4 linked regions of the Caenorhabditis elegans genome follow. The protein of the gene in region 2 purifies or fractionates together with the protein of the main gene of each other region. This does not show direct contact. Each region holds a gene or a part of one and is shown on either strand. Other genes may lie near its edges.

The links.
Region 1: the proteins of C05C8.7 (region 2) and R03H10.2 fractionate together in Caenorhabditis elegans (co-fractionation; one large-scale study listed by BioGRID). This does not show direct contact.
Region 3: the proteins of C05C8.7 (region 2) and F53H1.3 fractionate together in Caenorhabditis elegans (co-fractionation; one large-scale study listed by BioGRID). This does not show direct contact.
Region 4: the proteins of C05C8.7 (region 2) and rab-14 fractionate together in Caenorhabditis elegans (co-fractionation; one large-scale study listed by BioGRID). This does not show direct contact.

The regions. Positions count from the first base shown.
Region 1 is NC_003280.10:4,153,787-4,158,784, reverse strand, and holds the start of R03H10.2 (uncharacterized protein), read right to left. Parts: upstream 3,013-4,998; 5' UTR 3,011-3,012; coding exon 2,846-3,010; intron 1-2,845.
Region 2 is NC_003283.11:7,242,397-7,249,024, forward strand, and holds C05C8.7 (mannose-6-phosphate isomerase), read right to left. Parts: upstream 4,655-6,628; 5' UTR 4,622-4,654; coding exon 4,493-4,621; intron 3,383-4,492; coding exon 3,194-3,382; intron 3,148-3,193; coding exon 3,006-3,147; intron 2,651-3,005; coding exon 2,469-2,650; intron 2,024-2,468; coding exon 1,434-2,023; intron 1,202-1,433; coding exon 1,030-1,201; 3' UTR 517-1,029; downstream 1-516.
Region 3 is NC_003282.8:1,327,321-1,332,167, reverse strand, and holds the start of F53H1.3 (UDENN domain-containing protein), read right to left. Parts: upstream 3,007-4,847; 5' UTR 3,006-3,006; coding exon 2,910-3,005; intron 2,724-2,909; coding exon 2,602-2,723; intron 2,310-2,601; coding exon 2,165-2,309; intron 712-2,164; coding exon 606-711; intron 552-605; coding exon 412-551; intron 1-411. Other genes in the region: F53H1.4 (PHD-type domain-containing protein), read right to left, coding at 4,511-4,789.
Region 4 is NC_003284.9:15,604,102-15,608,164, reverse strand, and holds rab-14 (Ras-related protein Rab-14), read left to right. Parts: upstream 1-1,529; 5' UTR 1,530-1,548; coding exon 1,549-1,654; intron 1,655-1,800; coding exon 1,801-2,045; intron 2,046-2,537; coding exon 2,538-2,656; intron 2,657-2,719; coding exon 2,720-2,882; 3' UTR 2,883-3,530; downstream 3,531-4,063. Other genes in the region: Protein nipi-3, read right to left, coding at 1-193.

The sequences.
Region 1 (4,998 bases), on a different chromosome or scaffold from region 2:
AGAATCTTCTGGGGTATGAAAATTTCAAACACCAGCCATTAATTTTCAAAGTTCAAGTAAACGAGATTCTCATGAAATTAGAGAAAATTATAGGGCAAAACTGCGCACAAATTGGCTCGGGCTTTTGCAGGAAACCCGATTTTTTCTGGAATAAAAAGTTTCAATTTGATCTTTCAGCCGGCAATTATGTTGGTCAAAACAGAGTAATTTGGAAATTGTAGGCTTTGAAATTTTGGAAGGTTTGACGAGAATTCAGAAAAAAAGGTATCAAAAACTACAAATTCGGAAGAAAATGAGGCCGAGTTCTTGGGCTTAGAACGTTGGGCAAACCCTTGACGTTTAGGCTTAGGCTTAGAATTATGCATAGGCTTGGGATTTAGGCTCAGTCTTAGGCTTGGGCATATGTTTAGGCTTGAGTTGAGGCTTAGGCTTAGTCTTAGGCTTACGCTGAAGCTCAAACTTAGGCCTTTAAACTAGGGCCTTTAGATTTAGTCTCAGGCTTCTTTCTTCACGGTTACTATTAGGCTTAAGCTTGGTTCAAGACTTTTGGCATACACCTCATCCAAAGCTGAGCTTTGATTTTTTTCAAAAAAACGTTTTCCCATTTCTAGAAACATCAAAAGTTCTGCTCCCTTACAGTACCCCTTCTCAAGCAAGCTTTGCTCGAGAAACCTCGTGGTACCCTTTTCCCCTCCAAAAAATCTTGCTGATTAATTAGCTCCTATGACTCCTCTCTATTCATCTTCTTCTGACTTCTTCTTGTTCACCCGTCTCTCGCCTCATGACCATGCTCGGTTGGATGGATAACGCGGGGCGGAGCCAATTATCACCAGAGCACACGGGTGCCTATATAAGCAAGAGCAAGAGAACACACTGATAATACTCTAATCTCTTGAGTTTTTCAAATTCTTCAATTGCTCTAATTTCTAAATTCTCTACAAAATGTTCCACATCAATCAAGACATTCTCACCAACGTCGATGCTCACCGCTCCCCAGCAGTCAAGGCTGCAATCCAGAGGACTATCGAGGAGAAGCGACGTGGGTTCCGCAGATGTGTATCTGCATTTTATTAAGCTTCTTGGAAAGCTCCTCTATGAGCCCTAACTGTTCTAAATATCTGTACAAAAATCTACACAAGCCGCCTTCACGGGTCTCTCCACATTCGAACTACTATTTTTTTCCGGTTTTGTTTTTTAAATGTTATTTTGTTGTTTTTTCTTCATTGTTTTTTGAATTGTTGTAGACTCTAGAAACCCTTACTTTCTTTGTATATATTGAACCAAAATTGACATTAAAGCTTCCAAAAAAAGTAATAAATTACATTTTTATATATCAAAAGTGTCTTGTTTTTTCTAGGGATTTTCAGGGTTTTCAGATAATTTCAGATGCTTAAAAGTGAACAACAAGATGAAAAATTCATAACAAAGAAGCGAGAGTACCGAAAAGTTTCAGATTTTTTCAGATTTCAGAAATTTTAGGAACAGGACTGGCTAGACTAGGGCTAGACTTATGCGTTGGCCATAGGCTTATGGTCAGGTTTAGGTCTATAGCCATGTTTGGGCCTAGGACTAGATTTAGGCCCAAGACTAGGCATTAACCTAGGACTAAGGGCTAGGCTTAAGGCTAGCTCTAGGTTTAGGCTTTGAGCTAGGCCATCAGGATTCACAACTTCGGTTAGTAGATGTTAAGCATTTCAAGGTTGCAAGAGCTGGCACTTAAGCTTCTAACCTAAGTATGGTCTTCAGATATGTATTTAGGCTTAGACACCTGCTTATGCCTAGTTCTAGGCTCAGGAGTAGGCCTAAACCGAGTCTCAGGTTTAGGACTACCACTAAGCTAGCTTTTTCTAAACTATATTTTTCACTACGAAAAGGAGAAAATCCTAGTTTGTAGTTAACATATTTTTCCGACACAGACTCACAGATTCAAAGATTCAATTATTTCTCTAATAGACCATATCACTATTCGAACCCAACTTTTCTGACTTCCTCTTCACTTTTTGATCTAACAAAAACTTTTGATCTATCTAACTAGCACCTATTCATAATGTATTTACAGCTGCAGAGGGTGTTTATTAAGAATAACCGAGTAATCAGGTCATAGATTCTTTTGAGTTCCCGAAACATTTTGTGATTCAGTCAGATTTGGTTCTAAAATTGAGTTATGAGTCAGGAAGTATTTTGGGAATCCGAAACGTTTGGGCTTATACCTTCAGGCTAAGGCTTGGGCTTTTTTGCTTAGGACCCTAGGCCAAGGCCCTTGGGATTAAGTCTTTCGACTTAATCCCAAGGGCTTTTCGACACATCCCATCCAGGCTATCAGGCGTAGGCCTTCAAATGTAGGCCTTCAAGTTGAGTCTTTCAGGCTCAGCTCTTTGGCTTAATATCTGTAGACTCATGCTTCAAAAATTCACTCTTCAATTTTGTCTTTTCGAAATTTCGTTTTGCAGTTTTCACAAGGTTTCGTGCATTTTTGTTATTTATTTATTTGTATACCTAGTATCTCATTAGTAATAATCTTTTTCCAGTTAAACCAAAAAAAAAATTTATAATCTTCCCGGAACCCCCTTCCCAGCTTATTTTAATCCTATTAATAATTCGGTTTAAAGCTCAGTGTACCGGAAAGTTCCAATCCCAAAAAAGTTTGAAAATAAGCACACAACATATTTCTTTTTGCAAAAATGTGAAGCAGTATTCATGTGCATATAATCTTCTTTTTTTTCCTTTTTCGAAACAAACTTTTTCTCATATCCGGTTCACTAAAGATAGCAGATGGATTCCGGCCAAGTGTGACCGCGGTCGGATTTTGAACTTAAATTTTTTGGGGAAAATTTGAAAAACTAACCGCCACTGCCAATGCCAGTGCCATAACCAAAAACATTCCGACAGATTCTCTCCAAGTCTGTGCGCCTTTAAACGTGACTTTTGGGTTATTCGACACTGTCCGAATCGGTGGAGCAGGGGGTAGTTGAGGAGGCGTTTTTGGCTCCGAATCGAAATCGAAATCCATTTCTGCAGATAATTTTGAAAATTAACTGTAAATACTTTTAGCAAAGTTGGAATAAAAACTTAAGGAACAAAAGACAATGTGAAAATAAAAAAGAAAAAAACAATTTTTTTTCTAAAGAAAAATGTTGCAAACGTTGTTTGGAAATTTTTTTATTCAATATCGAAATTTCCAATTCCCGAAATTTTACATTAAAATCTATAAGCCTAGAAGTTTACAAGCTTAAATAAAATGCGTCATGAAGTTGTTAAAAAACTATAGTCTTTGCAACAAAAAAAACATTAAAAATTTAGAGAACAAGCCTAAGTCTAAGCCTAGCCTAAGCCTAACTCTAAGCCGAAGCCGAAGCCGAAGCCTAAGCTTAAGCCTAATCCTAAGCCTAAGGATAAGCCTAAGCCTAAGCGTAAGCCTAAGCGTAAGCCTAAGCGTAAGCCTAAGCGTAAGCGTAAGCCTAAGCCTAAGCCTAAGCCTAAGCTTCACCATAAGCCTAAGTCTAAGCCTAAGCCTAAGTTCAAGCCGAAGCCTAAGCCTAAACCCAAGCCTAAACCCAAGCCTAAGCTTAAACCTAAGCCTAAGCCCAAGCCAAATCCATTCCTGAACTGTCCAGCTAATAAAAAGTATGTGTTAACAGCTTCATAAATCCAACAACCGACTAGTGAAAATGTGGTAATCTATCTTCCGGAGAGAATCTACTTCAGGTTTCCAACGTCAAACGCATATTAGTATATACTAATACGATAATAGGAAAACGAACGGAATGGAAGGGAAGAAGAAGACAGGTGGTAGTAGTGGAGAAGAAGCATCAGGAAAAGAGAAGAATATGACAAAACGGGAGACAGGCTTCTGGTACTAACCGACAGAAAGAAGAGAGAGAGAGAAAGAGACCACCTGCAGGGAATATACAGTCAAAATCTACTTATCGCACTTTTATGGGTGGACATATGTGTGTTCGGAAATGCATCGCTGGTTTGTTGTGTGAGGCATTCCGAAAAAGGAACATGTAAGGTTTTTGAGGGAGAGAAATGAGTCAACACTTAACTTTTGTGAGATGCGTTTAGAAGACGAAAAGGGAAGGTAATGAAGGACCCGAGACAAGTAAGGTCACTAGGAATAAGGTGGAGGGGTACACCGGAAAACTGAAACATAGAAAATAGAAAATTGCCTTAACCCAAAAAATAGAAAAAAAGTTTCACAAAAATCTCTGAAATTTTTGAATTTAGAAAAACTCAAGTATTAAACAACTCCACCATCTTGTAAATATATTACTCAGACGCAAAATTGCAAAATTTTAATTAATTTTGCAATTTTCCGCCAAAAATGTGATACCCGGCCTCGATACGACTAATGTTAGTTAAATGCCAAAAAGTGTGCGTCTTTAAAGAGTACTGTAATTTATCTTTTTGGAATTTTCATCAATTTTCAGTTTTGTGCACTTATTTATTTTTTTGAAAAAAATGTGAGAAATCTATGTAAATTAAATAGAAAAAAACACTGCAGAATTTATTTAGGGTAAAATTATAGTACTCTGTAAAGACGCATAGTTTTCCGAATTTGAGAAAATTTGTCGTTTATTGTTTTTTTCTCAAAAATAGCAAACTTAACGTCCGGATAATGTTTTTTCGTCATATTTGAATTATTATTTTTTTTTTAAATTCTTAAACAAAATTGGTATGTAAAATACAAATAATGTTTGAAAAAGTCAACAATTAAAAAGAAAATTCAGAAATTTTTGGCTTTCCGCTAAAACACCCTAAAATGTTACACCAATATTATAGAAAATCGATAGCTTTTATAAATTTTTAATATAAAATGTCTTCTTCTTACCTAATTTAACAAAAACATTAATGCAAATTCGCTCCGCCGACAATAAAAGATTTCAAATTTCACACGAAAAAAAAAATCAATAAACACACAAAAGTATGCAAAATCGAAAACAAACGAAGATAAAAGTCTGCGACCTTCGTAAGTATAATTAATGCATAGTGCCCCCT
Region 2 (6,628 bases):
CCAAATCAAATTACGTGTTGTCGATACAAAACGTCACTTTTTTGGTGACTTTCAGAATTGGAGCATTTGAGAGCAACTTCCTGCTAACACAGGTGTTTTGTCGTTAAAAAACTCATTGTCTCCAATTTTTAGATGAATTTTGCAAATCGCAAATTTCGCTGTGGCGACACCAACATTATAGAATTATTATCCTAACTGCGGCTCTCGTCTTGGTGGTCGCAATTTGCTAAACTTTTGCAATTTTGCTAGCATTTCTTTATATAGCTGGTGTTGTCTAATTTCTCATTTTTTCAGCTCCCAGTTTATGATTGACTACAGTTCTACACGTTATAAAATACATTTTCCTTAAAAAGAGTCCAACTATCTTATCTAAAAGAGTCCAACTATCTAAAAACATTAATTTTAAATTTTTGACAAATTTGAATAAGTCAAAAAAATGTAAAAATACATGTTTGCATTTTTTTCGACATCATATAAAAATTTAAATGTAGAACGAAGAGCAAAAAAAAATTTTTTTTGATTGTGAAATTTATTCTGGGCAATGTTCAAAATAAAAACAACTAGATAAATTTGCACAACTGATAGCATGAAGAAAATAATTGCAAAAAAAATCATAAAGAGAAAGAGAGACTGGGGTGAAACGAATGGGAAAATTGGGGAAAAAAGGTAAGGTAAAAGTGTCGAAAACTAGAAGATTCGGGTAGATCGAGGCGCAAAAAGCGGCAGCCACGAACTCTCATGGCATTGTAGATCGGAGCGATTGGTGGAGGAGCATAGGAATGAATGGTAAAAGCCAATTGGAATGAAGAAATTGAAGAAAAAACGCCTTTTAAACAAAGGAAGCATTTTAGAAATGAGAACAGAGTGACATACAGAAAAATAATGAAAAAAACTACAAAAAGATACTGTACTTTCCATTGAAAAAAGTGTTGGTATTACCCCGTAATTCGGCACACGGATGATATCTTTAGAATATTATCAGTGCTCAAACAGTGAAAAATATTTGAAATTAAATGCAAAACAAAGAGATTAAACAACAGCGGTGATCGCTTCTTCCATATCTGCATCTAATTTGAACATTTTCTCAGTAATCGTAGGCACCGCATTTTGAACTGGAGTGACGAGCCGTGTGTCATGATCTGGTCCCATTTCGTAACTAAACGTCCTGTATCCTTCTAATGGTTCCGAGCAGCTTGAGAATCTAAAAATAAAACATTTGAAAGTAGTTGTTGAACAGGAAGTTTCTAATTAGTTTCGTGTCGTTCCTTTCTTAATCTTTAGAATAAAACGAATTGGATACTGGCAAAAACTTTTAAGAATGAGAGAAAATACATTTCAAGACAAAAGAATATGGCTAATAATGAATACTTCTAGGAAGGAGACCACATTTAATATCAAATAATTTATAAAAGTTTAGATATAGTCGTACTTACCTGATATTATGCTTTGGTGGAATATAGAAGATATCTCCTCTTTTAACTTCATACTGTCCAATCAGCTGATTGTCAATTGTCGCCTCTTCTAGTGTACCTTTTCCGCTGACAACTACAAAGATGGATGCGCAATCAAGAGTTGGAATCATCATTTCTTCAACAGTCTGATGTGTTCCTACTCGTATTCTATGAAGTTGGAAATCTTTACAATCTGGTGCATACATATCAACACATTCAGTCAACTTGTTCTCTGGCACCAAATAATCTTTTTGCTCTGTCATCTTGTAGTTAAGAACACTGCAAAGAGCATCTCTGTCAATGTATTTTGGAGTCATGGCGGCCCGAATCGTATTGTTTGAACATCCCACGCATTCAACACATTCACCACTGAGATAGGCATGAAGTTCTTCAGCAGCATAATAACAACATTGTCCTGGTTCGAGAATCATGTGATTGAGGAAAAGTGGGGAGAAGATTCCAATATCATTTGGAAAATCAACCGACATTTTTCGAATCACTCCTACTGTTACTTCTTCAACTGCACCACGAAGCCCATTGTCAAGTTCGGAAAGAAGCTTTGCAATCAGGTCCTGGAAATTTAAAGTTTAAGTTAGAAAATGAAATACAAAACTTTGAAAGGATTTGCAAACAGGTTGCCAAAGTGTTTTGAAAGTTTATATCAAAATCAAGCAGTATTTAAATTTATTAATACGCAAACATTATAAAAAAAAATTGCTTCACAATTTGCTTGCCAGTTTGGTTGGTGTAGCACTGATAACTTAATTAGTTATCTAGTTTGTAATCATTTAAAAATCCTTATGTATCGTTTTTCCCTCACGCGAAAACATTGAAAATACCGAATAAAATAGATTTTAAAAAAAACAAAACAGAAATCGTGGTTTTCAAAAATGGGGTTTAGTAATTAAGAATCATTGAAATTTAAATAGGATGCTCGAAAAACGTTAATTGCGATTTTCGATTCAAACATAAAAATTGTTTGAATTTAAAATATTAAATCATTAAAAAAACACCCACATGAACATCATTTCTTTCTGGAACCATCATAAATCTAAAGCAGTCCTCCAAATATTTTCTCGAGTCTTTAAATTCTGTAGATTTCTGGTCAACTGAGTTCAGATCCTTCATTTGTTGAATGCAATCTTCGAGTGGTTTAGCATACGTGTCTCCTCCGAAAAGTAACCGGAATGATGGGAAGGCTGGAATAACCAATATGTGACTAGATAATTGAGTTTCTCGGGTTCTTCTTCTTACTTAATTGTTATGTTTGAAAACGCAAATCTTGTTCAGATGTTGAAAAGGCATTGTAAAGGCTGAACAAGGCTTTTTTCGGGTCTATCACAAATGTTGGCCGAGCTGATATAATATTTTACCCAAATTCCAAACAACTCAGGAAAAGATTGAGAAAAACATTAGAAAAAATTGGACTAGCGTTTGCCAGCGCGGCTTGGAACAAATTTTTGCCCAAACACTGCCAACTTTTGATCCAAGTTTATACTTTTTTTTAAACTTTAACAAGACGTTGAAACTAAAACCTTAGTGTGTTCAACTTACTCTGAAGGTTCTGCAAAATCTCTCTAGCTGGCCGGAATCCGCAAAGAAGTTCGAAACGGGTAAGTGCGTAGGCCAGCTCTGGTTTGTGATTCCTATCAGGATAGTGAATAGGGTCTTTCTCATGCAATCGGCGAGCTTGTTCCTATAAAAACTCTCGTGGTAACCAACTGCTATAATTCATTACATACTTTGGTTGGATGAACTTGTAGTGACAAGGTGGTTCTGATCGACATCACCTTCATGATAAATGGCAAATGAATGTTCTTTGCCGAATTGTTGTTTGTCAATGGAGATGGGTTCTTTGCCAAGTACGTCGACAGTTTGGTGGAGCATTTCTTGAGCTGAGCTGGTCCATCGGGGTGGGTTCCCATCCATAGCTACAAAACGTTAAATTACTAGGCTACGAATCATGGTTTCTCTGTCTGATCACTGTGTTCAAGAACAACATCGGTTCAAAAAACCATCACCAATCAGGTTTTCCAAACACTTCTTTATCTACAGAAGATTCGGTTTTGTCACTTTTTCCTGCAGCAGAGATCAACAGAGATTAAAAAAGTTTGCACTTTTTTAAATGGTTCAGACCAATGATTATCGGCTCCAATAAAATAACTGTATTCAAAAAAGAATGTAAAGCTTTTCAGAGGTATGTATATACATATTTACCATGAACCCTCCCTAGGTATTTATTTTAAATTGTTCCTATGTGAGCATATAGTTTACCTGTGTCATATTCCCAGGTAACATTTCATATAAATTTCAATTTTCTAGCCAATATTGGGTTTAGTAAAGTATTAAGAAATATGGATTAATGAATGAATATAAGGAAACACGGAGTGAGGCAAAGGGAATACCAGGAAATAGGATTGAGTGAAGTCAGAATAAAATTAAATTTACATCGGGGACTCAAACCCCAAGAACATAGTTTCGCATGATATTTGATATTCAATTATTTGATAAGATGGGTGAAATAACACAAAAATCGCAGCCTTTCTCCCACGGGACCTACAAGGCGGTGGAGTGGAAACTTACCAAAATGTATGAAGATGTGAGCTATTTTTTAATCTGGCACTTACATACGATTTCCTAGTTTTTACGAATTGTTATAGTAATGAATAAATAATGCTTATTGTCAAAGTGTATTTTGAACTCTGTTCAGGAAAACGATTCCGATTCGATATTGTTTTATTCTTGAATTCTATTCAAATTACTTTTTTAAGATTGAAAACTATACGAACTATTTATTGTTCGTTTATGTTTGAATCAATCTCCTATTCCAGTTTTCCATCTGACACAAAATACTTTTTTCTTATTCCGTTTTTATTCAGAATTTTCGGAGATTTTCTAGCTGCCACTTTGGCAAGATATCTAGATCAGGCCAATGTAATGAATGTTGCTGGAAATTAATGACGTGACCAGGAATTAGCCATAGAACAATGAGGGTGCAAGATATATAGGAAAAAGTGTTTTTTTTAATTAAAAATACTTACCTCAGCATATGGTGTCTTCTGATCAATTTGGAAACTTTCATGACCGTCTGCAAATAGTCTCGCCACCTCGCTCTCCTCACCATATTTTCCCCACGCATACTGTTTGACGTGGCATTTGAGTTGTTCCATTTGTGTTGTCAACGTGGCGCAGAACCCAAGATCCTGGAATTCGGTTGGAAGAGTTGTGGACGGCGCACGAAGACTAATGAAAGTATCGAGTAGATCAAAACTAGGCGATAAAAGGAGGATGACACGCTGTGCCACTAGTACTGCAAAGGAGAGGATGTTGGGGTGAAAACGGACGGGGCGAAGTGGGTCAGCGAAGCGGAGATAGATGATAGGTAGCACTTGCAACGAACGATACACAGAAATCGATGATGAAGGGGGGTGACGATGAAGCTGTGAATTTAAAGAATTGTTGGAATTTCTGAATGAGAAGAGAGATATAGAGAGTGAGAAAGAAAAAGAAGGGTAGAAGAAATTTAAGAAAAGTATGAAAAAAGATGATCAAGGGGTGGATCGAAGTGGGTGGAGAAAATGAACACTTTCAGGCTGGACATGCCTATTGGCCTTCAAAAACCTAGAATGAAAACGGTTTTGATTCGCAACAAAGATATGATGAAAAAGGTATCACATGAGAAATAAGAAAAGTGCATTTGTATCATCTCGGCGAATGCAAAAATGGGTGCGGTAAGAAAATGGGGTTACTGATGTTTCACCTATCTTTGGCTCGATTCTCTCAAATCTTGTTAATGATGTTCTCTTAAAGTCTTGTCTCGATTACTTTTCCTAATCATCGTCACCTTCTCGAGAGTCTTTTGTCTTTTCAAACAATATCTGGTTGGAAAAGGGGCGTCCAATTCATATCGGGTCGATCGGGGGTAAACCAGTTCGTTCGCCCCCTTTCTCTCACTCTCTGCAGTCCGAAAAAGTGTGTAATAGTGCATGAAGACAACAAAAAGAAGTGAAAAAAAGTGGGGACCAGCATCGTTGTTGCCGTCGACGATACATTTTTGTGAAAAAGAGAAGGTAGCGACTTTTGCGGAGTGGACGCTAAGAGTCGAGAAGGAGAGACAAATTGATGCATCGAGCGCCTCCCGTCTCTTCACTGATGACGAAGTACTGTATTGGTTCTCGCTATCTATACACAGACCCCCTCTGATTTTTATCAAAACGGACGTCGTCTCCCGTCTCTTCTCTTCGTCCGCGTCGGTCCCGGCAAGGTCATCAAGAAAACGGGCATTTCATATTCCCGAAGCTCCACCCATCCCAACAGACACACTTATCCTTCTCGGTCGGCTGATCCCAACCGCTAAGGAAACGAAAGGGATCTAGGTGTTGTATAAGTATTAAGTGCACGTTGACCTACTAAGAAGTTACCAGCCTGGTTATTTGTTCTAAAAATTTAGAATCGCAAACAATCTAGGCAAGGAAACAGGGGGTTTTTTTGACAAAATATCAAGATAGGCATGCCATCGGATACATACTCTAATTTTTCTAGGTAGAAAGTCTTTAAAAAACCTATTGTGTTTTTTTCAGGTGTTTGGCGCCAAATTCGTGTTCAACTTTCCCCAAAAGATTTTTTGGGTTCAGAAGCTTGGGAAAATCTTAAGCAAGACTTTGGCTATGGTTTATGCCGAGCAGAAGCTCAGTCCGATTTTGATCTAGCCAGTTTTCATTAAAACTCGTATGTTGTCGTTTCGAGCTTGGGTAGAAAATTGAAAAGTGTTGGATCAGGAAAAAAAAAATGCAAATTTCAGAAAATGTAGCGCTGAAAACTAGACCTTAGAAATACCAATTCGAATTTCTTAAATTTTGAAGTGACGTCAATTCGTCACTCATGACATGGACACATTGGACGAAGAGTGAAACACAAACAAAAAAGAAGCGAAAAGGATAGAAAAAGGATGGTAACCAACAAATTACAACGACTTCGTCACGATCAACAAACTTAAATTCTGCTGCAGTCAATATTAACCTGTAAAAGCAAAGTTCAGATGCCCTCTCTCACATCAAAAAATGGGAAAAGATACCCAAAACATATTGATCTCTCCGAAAGATCTTCAAAGAAAACACAAAGTTATCATGATAAGAATCTTTTGCGTATTTTCCGTCCCAGTCGTGGATTTCTCAATT
Region 3 (4,847 bases), on a different chromosome or scaffold from region 2:
GATTTTTTGAGATTTTTAGTGAATTTATAATACACTTCTTTTTGGATAATATTTTAGATTTTTCAGTTTTGTTTTTTTAATTTCTGAAAATTTTTGTAATAAATTATCTCCAATTTTTCGTTAATTTTCAGCATATTTTCTGATTTTTTGAAGAAATTTTCTTTTTCGAAAACTTATAGAATTAAAATTCTGAAATTTTTGTGATTTTCTTAAATTTAAAAAAAAATTCAAAGATTCTGGAACATCATTGGAATATTCTTCAAAAAATATCTAGAAATAAGAATTTTTCGGCTAAAAATTTCACAATTCTCTATTTATTTCAATTTTCTGATAGATTCCGGACATTTTTTCAGACCAAAAATGTTCAATTTTTCGAGTTTTTTTTTTCCAATTTTTTCCAATTTTAGCTACCTCAACATGTCCATCAAGCCGGAATTCATATGGTAGATCACAGGCGGCCGGTAGGCGGCAACTGATTAAAGTACCGAGCAACGGTAACTCAATAGTCCGACCAGCGTGCGGCTGTTGCCACGTGTCAATGTGATGGCAGGCTGGAAAATTTCAGAAAATTTTAGTTTTTTTTTCCAATTTCAGGTGGCGGCTACCTGCTTCAATTGCTGCTTCTCCACTTTCAAAAAAATGCTCAGCGATGCGGGCGGTAACTGAGTAGAACAAGGAAAACAGTGGGAGCACTGACATTAGGACGATGCTCTGGAAATAGAAAATTAGCTAAAAAAAAAAAGGAATGGATTTTCAGCCAAGTTTTCAGGCTGAGAAATGGAAAATTTGGGCATAGCTTCCGCATCTCTAGTGACAAATGTGCTCTATTGCACAAATTGTTGGTTGGAATACGGTATTTATTGCATATTTCAGCCGAGAATACCACTATTCAAACCATCAATTCGGATAGAGAAACACACAAGTCACAGACAATATATAGGGAAATTCAGTTCAGTTGCCGTTCAATTTTGACCTACTTTGCGCAAAGTCTGAAAAAGTTGGGTCTCGCCACGAAAAAAAAAACTATTCGAATTTCCTATAAAAAAAACAAAAAATACAAATTTTTTGATTTTCATGGGAAAAACATCGAAAAATTCAAAAATTTGCCGTTTTTTCCGTAAAAAACGGATTTTTTACCTGGAAAAAGCCACAAAAAATTCCGAAAAACAAGCGGAAAAGCTAAAAATTCTAATTTTCAGCAGGATTTTGATTAAAAATTAGAACAATCCAAGAAACCACTAGGTTTTCAACAAAAAATTGGAAATTGAGCAGAATTTTTCAGTTTTTACAGCTTAAAAAAAAAACATCATAAATTCCGAGTTACCGTACCCAAATTTATAGCTTTCCTCGGAAACTGGGATTTAAAAAAAACAGAAAATTGTCAGAAAAAAGGGTTTTTATGGGTTTTTTTTTCAAATTTTATAATAAATTTTAATGTCGAAATTTCCAAATTTTCTACTTTACACCCGAAAACAGCCAAATTTCCGCGCTAAATGAAAATTTGGGCATAGCTTCCGCATCCCCGGTGACAAATGTGCTCTATTGCACCGAATTGTTGGTTGGAAAACGGTATTTATTGCATATTTCAGCCGAGAATACCACTATTCAAACCATCAATTCGGATAGAAAAACACACAAGTCACAGACAATATTGTTTTCGAGTTACCGTATAACTTTGACCTACTTTGCGCAAAGTCTGAAAAAATTGGGTCCCACCACGAAAACCTGTGGGTTACTGTAGAATTTTGTGACGAGACCCAATTTTGTTTAAAATTTGCGTAAAATACGCCATATTTATACTTAAATTGAAGCTCTCATCTAGATTAATAAGAAAATGCCAGTAAAACTGAAAAAAACGTCTTAAAAGCTTAATAATTCCAATTTTTCTGGGAAAGGTCATAAAATTGTGACAATTTGTCGAATTTCCTTTTTAAAAAATTGAAAAGCCTAAAATTTTCCATTTTTCTGGAAAAAAAGCCGACAATCCATAGTTTTACCCTTTTTTTGGCAAAAGACGAACATTTAAAAAATTCCGTTTTTTCCAAAAAAAAGGGGAAAATACTAAAAATTGTTCCATTTTTCCGGAAAAAAGTGAATTTTAGCGGGGAAAAACTCGAATTTTCACTCAAATTTTCGCCAATTTTATTGCGTTCCGGTTATGAACCTTCTGATAATATCCTCGATGAATTGTCGGGTCTTTGCATTGCCGAAAATGCACAAAACCGTATAAATAGTGTGTATCAAAGGGTAGAGACGTCGGAGATTTGTCGACAAACGACTTTTGGCAGTCTCTGACGTCACTGATTGCTCTGAAAATTTTTAATTTTGAGTATTTGCATTGAATTCAGCTCACTTAAAGCTTCAAAATGAGTATAAACATGACCTAGTTTGCTGAAATTTGAAAAAAGTTGGGTCCCGCCACGAAAACCCAATTTTCTTCAAAATTCAGCAAAGTAGGTCATAATTATACTTAAATCAAAGCTCTCGGTGAGCTGAACACGGAAATCACTCGCAAATTTTCAGATTTCAGCCAAAAAAATTTTTTCTCAAAATTTGAAAAAAAAATATTTTTTTCCGAAATTTTTAATCTCAAAAAATCACCTGCGTATCCTGAAATGAAAATTTGTGTCTCGTGCATTACTGGAATTCGAGTCTGGAAATGCCAAATAGCAGATATTGATTTTTTCAGTGTTCGATAGAATTGCGTCTCCTGGGTAGATTACCTGAAAAAACCAGATTTTTTTTTTGTCAAAATCGTGCTCAGCTCGTCGAGAGCTTTGATTTGAGTATAATCACATTAATCATTTTAAAAAATGCGAAAATTTCCGGGTCTCGCAGCGAAAAGTCAGAAAATCCGGGATTTTTTGATTTTTCTGCATTTTTTTTTCAGTTTTTCTGCAAATCCTCACTTCCAACGCCTGTCCAAGCTCCAAATCAAACGTGACCACACAAATGCAGTGAAGCCAGTCGCGAAACCGGTCCCATGGCTCAATATCCGGCTCCATTCTGAAAATTTTCAAGATTCCAGGTTTTCTGTGCTTTTTAGGTGGATTTTCAAGATTTTTAGGGTAAAAATGGTGAGAAAATCGATAAATTAGCTGATTTTCAGCGAAAAAAACTGGAAAATTCATGAAAAACGGCGCAAAATCGGCAAAAACGAACAAAGAAACCGGTTCCGTCTCTCTCGTCATCTCGCGCACTCCACGGAATGCGTGCTCTCTCGGTGGTGCGATGGAGCGCACTTGCATTGTTTTGGTTTTAACCGATTTTCAGGGGATTTTCGGGGGATTTTCAGCCGAATCCGAAAGTTTAAGCAAGATTTGAAATCAGATAGATTATACCAAACAAATGAATTTCACGAATAATTCAAATTGAATGTCTATTTAAATATGTGCTAACTACGGTAAGCGAAAAAGTACGCATTGCATACAATACACTTTAATTGACGCGCAAATGTTTTTTCTGTTAAAAAAAAATGTTTTCAAGCTTAATTTAGATATTTTTAACGAAAATTGTCGTTAAAATTAAGCAAATGGTTTGTTTAAACGATTATAACACAATGTTTAGAATAAAATAATCGAAAAATCTAATTATTTTTGTATTTTCCACTCGAGACCCAAAAAATTCCAAAATTGTTGAATATTTACCACAATTTTCATCCTAAGTCGCGAGTTTCTCACCAGAAAAGTTGTCTTTATCAGCGAAATTAACCTGGAAATTCAAATTTTTGAAGTTTTACACTCGAGACCCAGAAAATTTCCGGAATTTGTGTATTTTCCATGTTTTCGAATTCTTTGTGAAATTCACTTCAAATTGAATTCTTTCCATTGAAAACCTACAATTTCCAGCAAAAAATAACCGGAAATTTCAAAATTTCCAAGTTTTCCACTCGAGACCCACCGCTGGATTACTGTAACTTCATTATTACGTGTGCCAACTTTATTTCAACGTTTTACAATCGAAAAATGAGGGGGTTCTCACCCAAAAAATTACAATAAATTAGATAAAATGATCGAATGCCATGATGAAAAATTTCAAAAAAATGCCAAAACTCGTTGCCGGGGGGTGAAAAAAAATCTTAAAGGGACAGGAAAATTTGGAGAATCTGTGAAAAAGTGAGAAAAATAAGAAATTGATAGTTTTTTTTGGGATTAAATAGTGAGAAAATAGGGAAAAAAGTAAAAAATGTAGAAAAAATATCAAAAAATTCTGCGAAAACTGGAAAAATCTCCAAATTTGCAAATAAAAGTCGAAAAATTTCGAATTTTTTCAAAAAAAAAATTAAATTCATATTTTTGGAAATTTTTATTTGAAAAATTCGAATTTTTTGGAAAAAAAATCGGAAAATTTAAAATATTCAATTTTTTTGGGAAAAAATTCCGAAAATTTAAATTTTTAATTTAAAAAACCGATTTTTCAACATTTCAACTGCATTTTAGGACACTTTTCACAATAAAAATGATACACTTTCAAAAAAAAAAGAAGATTTTTCAGTGTATTCCGAAATAAATCACATAAAATTGAGTTCAGAAATGAGCTCATCAAGATCATCCAACTTTCTTGGGTTATGAGTCTCAATGTATCCACGTGCATGACGGAAGAATTGGCTCAAATGCTCGTGAAGCTGCTCGGCAGACGTGTAAACGTCCAAATCTTGCTCAATATCCGGCAGAGAGCGATTCTCGTGTTGAGCGTTACGTGTCGAACGGGATTGGCCGGGAATTTGTTGCAGGGTCTTGTAGAGTCGAGGATTGGCACGTTCGATCGAGTTGAACAGCTCCAGCACTTCCTGAAAATTTGGAAAAATTGATTTTCTGGAAAAATTCTCAAGTTTTTAACAAAAAATT
Region 4 (4,063 bases), on a different chromosome or scaffold from region 2:
CGACATTCTTCTTGGCTAGAACATCGTAAAACACCCTTGGACGACTTGAGGTATTTCCAACAAAAGGAAGAGTTGTGGGCCTCCTTCTTGAAACGGCATCCTGACGAACTGGTTCAGAAAGATCTTTTGCGGTTTTTCTGACTCCAGTTCTAGGATTGGCTACGGTTTTGGTTTTGCATTTTGTACGAGCCATACCCTGAAAAACAAAAAAAATAATGTTTAGGGAACATTGTTACAAAAGGAGAAGAAGCAAATGAGATAAAGTTGGTAGACTACAGACAAGAAAATGCAAAGAATGATAACCCTAGAATTGGTAAGAATGAAGGGGTGTTATTGCGAAACATTACTGGCTGCGAGGGTTTCACAATGAATTTTCCGTTTTTTTTTTTTTTAATATTTCGCAATACTACATTGTAGATGACTAGAGGGAGGACCGCCCTTCTTCACATATCACAGAAACGACGAGAGGAATCGGAAGAGAGCGCGTGGCGATGAGAGAAGCTCGTGCATCAGCAGGTATTGCGAAATATCATCGCGGCACTACGATCAACACAAGTGTCAGAGAAGGAAACTACGGGGACCGAAACGAGAGATAGAGAATGAGTGGGTAGATGGTCGAATAGTGATAAAATCAAATGTCTCGAGAACTGTAAGACTGTTCACAAACGAGTTGTAACCGATTAGGGGAGCCATGGTTGGAAATTGAAGTCATAATTTGCAATTTGATTAGGCTATTAAGCATATTTAATATTATAGTATTTTACTCTGTTCTGAAGATGAATTTGAAGAGCAAAACAAGAAGCAGGAGGAAATAATTGTTTTTTCCATGTCTTAGGCATCTACGTATATGAAAAAGAAAAAGCATGATCTCTTTGGAACAAGGAAAAAGATAGCTGGCTCAACACCAATGACAGATGAATAAGGAGAAAAGCTAGAGCCCACACACACGTGCGCATTCACTCGTCATTTCACTCTTCTCTCTTTTTGTCTCTCTACGTGTTTTTTTCTTCATCTCCAATCCGTCTCCTACGCGGCACATAAGGCGAGAGTCAGACAGCACAGTACAGCGCACACCGAGAGCGAGACGTTAGAGACACGCAGTAGAGACCAGTTCCGTTGCAAGCGTCGCGGTCGATAGTACGCGACGCGTCGTTTCTCAGAGAAGACAGAGATAGAGGAATGGAGGGGCCCCCGTTTTTGTCCAGTGTCTCTTTCCTCGTGATATTCCATTGCGTAGCACTCCTCGTACAACTGCTCCTCTCTCTCTCTCCGACATTGCCTCTTTTAGCTTTCTGGAGGCCAATGGATTCTCTATTGCTTTTGGACGTGGCGTTCATCTTTCTCTATCCCAACTACTTCCACATTTGTCTCTCTCTCCCCGTCGGTTTTCCCCTACTTCCAACTAATGACAACTTGGCAGTCAGTCTCTAATAGCCACTTTCTTTTGTGTGGTCTATCTATTCTCATTGCTACTTTTTTGTATCCTTTTTTCTGAAACGAATAACCAAAATATAATCCGCAACTTTCAGGTAACAAAAACACATAAAAATGACGGCTGCTCCTTACAATTATTCGTATATTTTCAAATATATTATTATTGGTGATATGGGTGTCGGAAAATCGTGTCTTCTTCATCAGTTCACAGAAAAGAAGTGTAAGTCCCGCATTCCTGGAAAATCGATATATCATGTTGTTTGTGTCAACATTAGTCATCAACAAGAGACCTGTTCCTCCGGTCAATAACCACCGTACAATCACTGCGGGCAACAAACGCAAAAACTAACTATAACTAACTTTCAGTCATGGCCGACTGCCCGCACACAATCGGCGTGGAATTCGGCACCAGGATTATTGAGGTCAGCGGACAGAAGATCAAGCTTCAAATCTGGGACACGGCGGGCCAGGAGCGATTCCGCGCTGTGACGCGATCATATTATCGTGGAGCAGCCGGAGCCTTGATGGTCTACGACATCACTCGCCGTTCTACCTACAATCATTTGAGCAGCTGGTTGGCCGACGCAAAAAGCTTGACCAATCCAAATACGGTAGGTAAAATATATACTTGGTTTATAATTTTTACTCAAAAGTAGGGTTGAAAAATATATAAAAACTCGAATTTATACTTTATAAAAGCATTCCCAAGTTCCAAAATTAAAGCGAATTTGAACTTTCAGCAAAATTTCAAAACTACATAGATGTACGCCATGTTTAGTAAATTGCAATTTATGAATTTTTGCAAGCATAACATTTATTTGCAGCTCAAAAGATCGTAGACTATAAACTGAATTTCAATCAAAATTCTCATGAATCAGATTTAAGCTGGAAAACATTCAATCTGTATGTGCTCTAAATTGTGTGTTTTATCGTTAAACTAATATCTAAAAAAAACGAGTTAAAATTGGGTTATCTAGTTTTATTTGGAGAGTTAAAAATCTACCTGTATTAGTAAGAAAACAGTATTTCGTCCACTTTGCACTGATTTAATTTTACAATAAAAATGAGATTCAAGCACCAATTCTCACAAGTTCCTTTTTCAGGCCATCTTTCTTATCGGAAACAAAGCCGACCTCGAAGATCAACGTGACGTGCCATACGAGGAAGCAAAAGCTTTCGCCGAAGAAAACGGGCTCACTTTCTTGGAGTGCAGTGCGAAGACGTAAGTTTCTTCCCCCCACCCCCCCACTGCAAATTCATCAATTTCAAATGGCTTTTTTTTCAGTGGCAGTAACGTCGAAGACGCTTTCCTCGAAACGGCCAAGCAAATCTATCAGAATATCCAAGACGGAAGTTTGGACTTGAACGCCGCCGACACTGGCGTCCAGCCAAAACAGAACTTGCCACGTGCAGCTGAAAATAATGGGAAGAAGGACTGCAACTGCTAGTTGATGTGTGCAAAGTCCCTTCTTCCCCTCAAATCATTCCCAATTGATTTTAATGTATTTTTTTAAATTATTACTTTCTAATCCGTCTATCTGTATGTGAGAGCTTGTCACCCATTATCATTAAAATGCCAGAAGAATCAACATTGGGTGGTATGGTTTCTTGTTTCCAAATTCTAGTTGCCTGTCAAAATCTAAACTTGTAATCACTATAAAACTACTCTGAAATTCAGAACTTTGTGTCACTTTTACTTACCAATTCCCAGTCTTTTTCAGTCCCCCACCCATTACTCACTATCATCATCGAACTGTGAACCGTTCATAATATAACACTTTCGCTCACCCAACCAACTGCATATTTAGTAGATTTTTTCTGTCAAAAACCGTTTTGAACATTTTTCCCCCATTCCTTGTGTGATAAGAAACATCTATATGATCCCACCCCATTAAGTGCTATAATTGTGCTTTGAAAATCAAAAAAACTAACGATTTTTGTCATTTTTGTCACTTTTCCTTATAAATAGTTCTCTGTTGTTAGTTTTATGAACCTATGATTTCAGAAAACTTTTTCAAAATTTATTTTTTTTGTTTAATCATTTTTCAGCAAAATTCAATTGTACATATAATATTTAAAAAAACTATTCATTGAAGCATGAAGTGCTCAATCTTCAAAGTTAACATCACCAGTAATAGTCAAATGTGTTTTCAAGTGTGCGTAAATTTTTCTAATGACAGAGTAATCCGTGGCTGAAATGGGATTCTAGTCACGGGTGGGCAGCAAACGATTGTTTCCGGCAAATCGGCAAATCGGCAGATTGCAGGAATTGCAGATTTCCGGCAAATCGGCTAATCGGCAAATTGCCGATTCGCCAAATTTGCTGGAAAAAAAGAAACTTGCCAAAAAATTTCTGCAAATTGTGGTTTCGCACTTATTTTTTTGGAAATTTTAGAATTCCAATTTCAAATGACAAAATTTTACGCATCCTATGAATATTCCTACATCTATTTCGAAAAGTAAGCAAATTCTATGAAAATATGTAGACAAAACGGAAAAAATTCAAAAAAAAACGGTTTTAAGAGTTTCCGTTCTATAAAAAGTCCCTCTAAAAATTTCCGGGAAATCTGATATTCGGCAAACGGCAAATCGGCAACTTGCCGAAAATGAAAATTTCAGGCAAATCGGC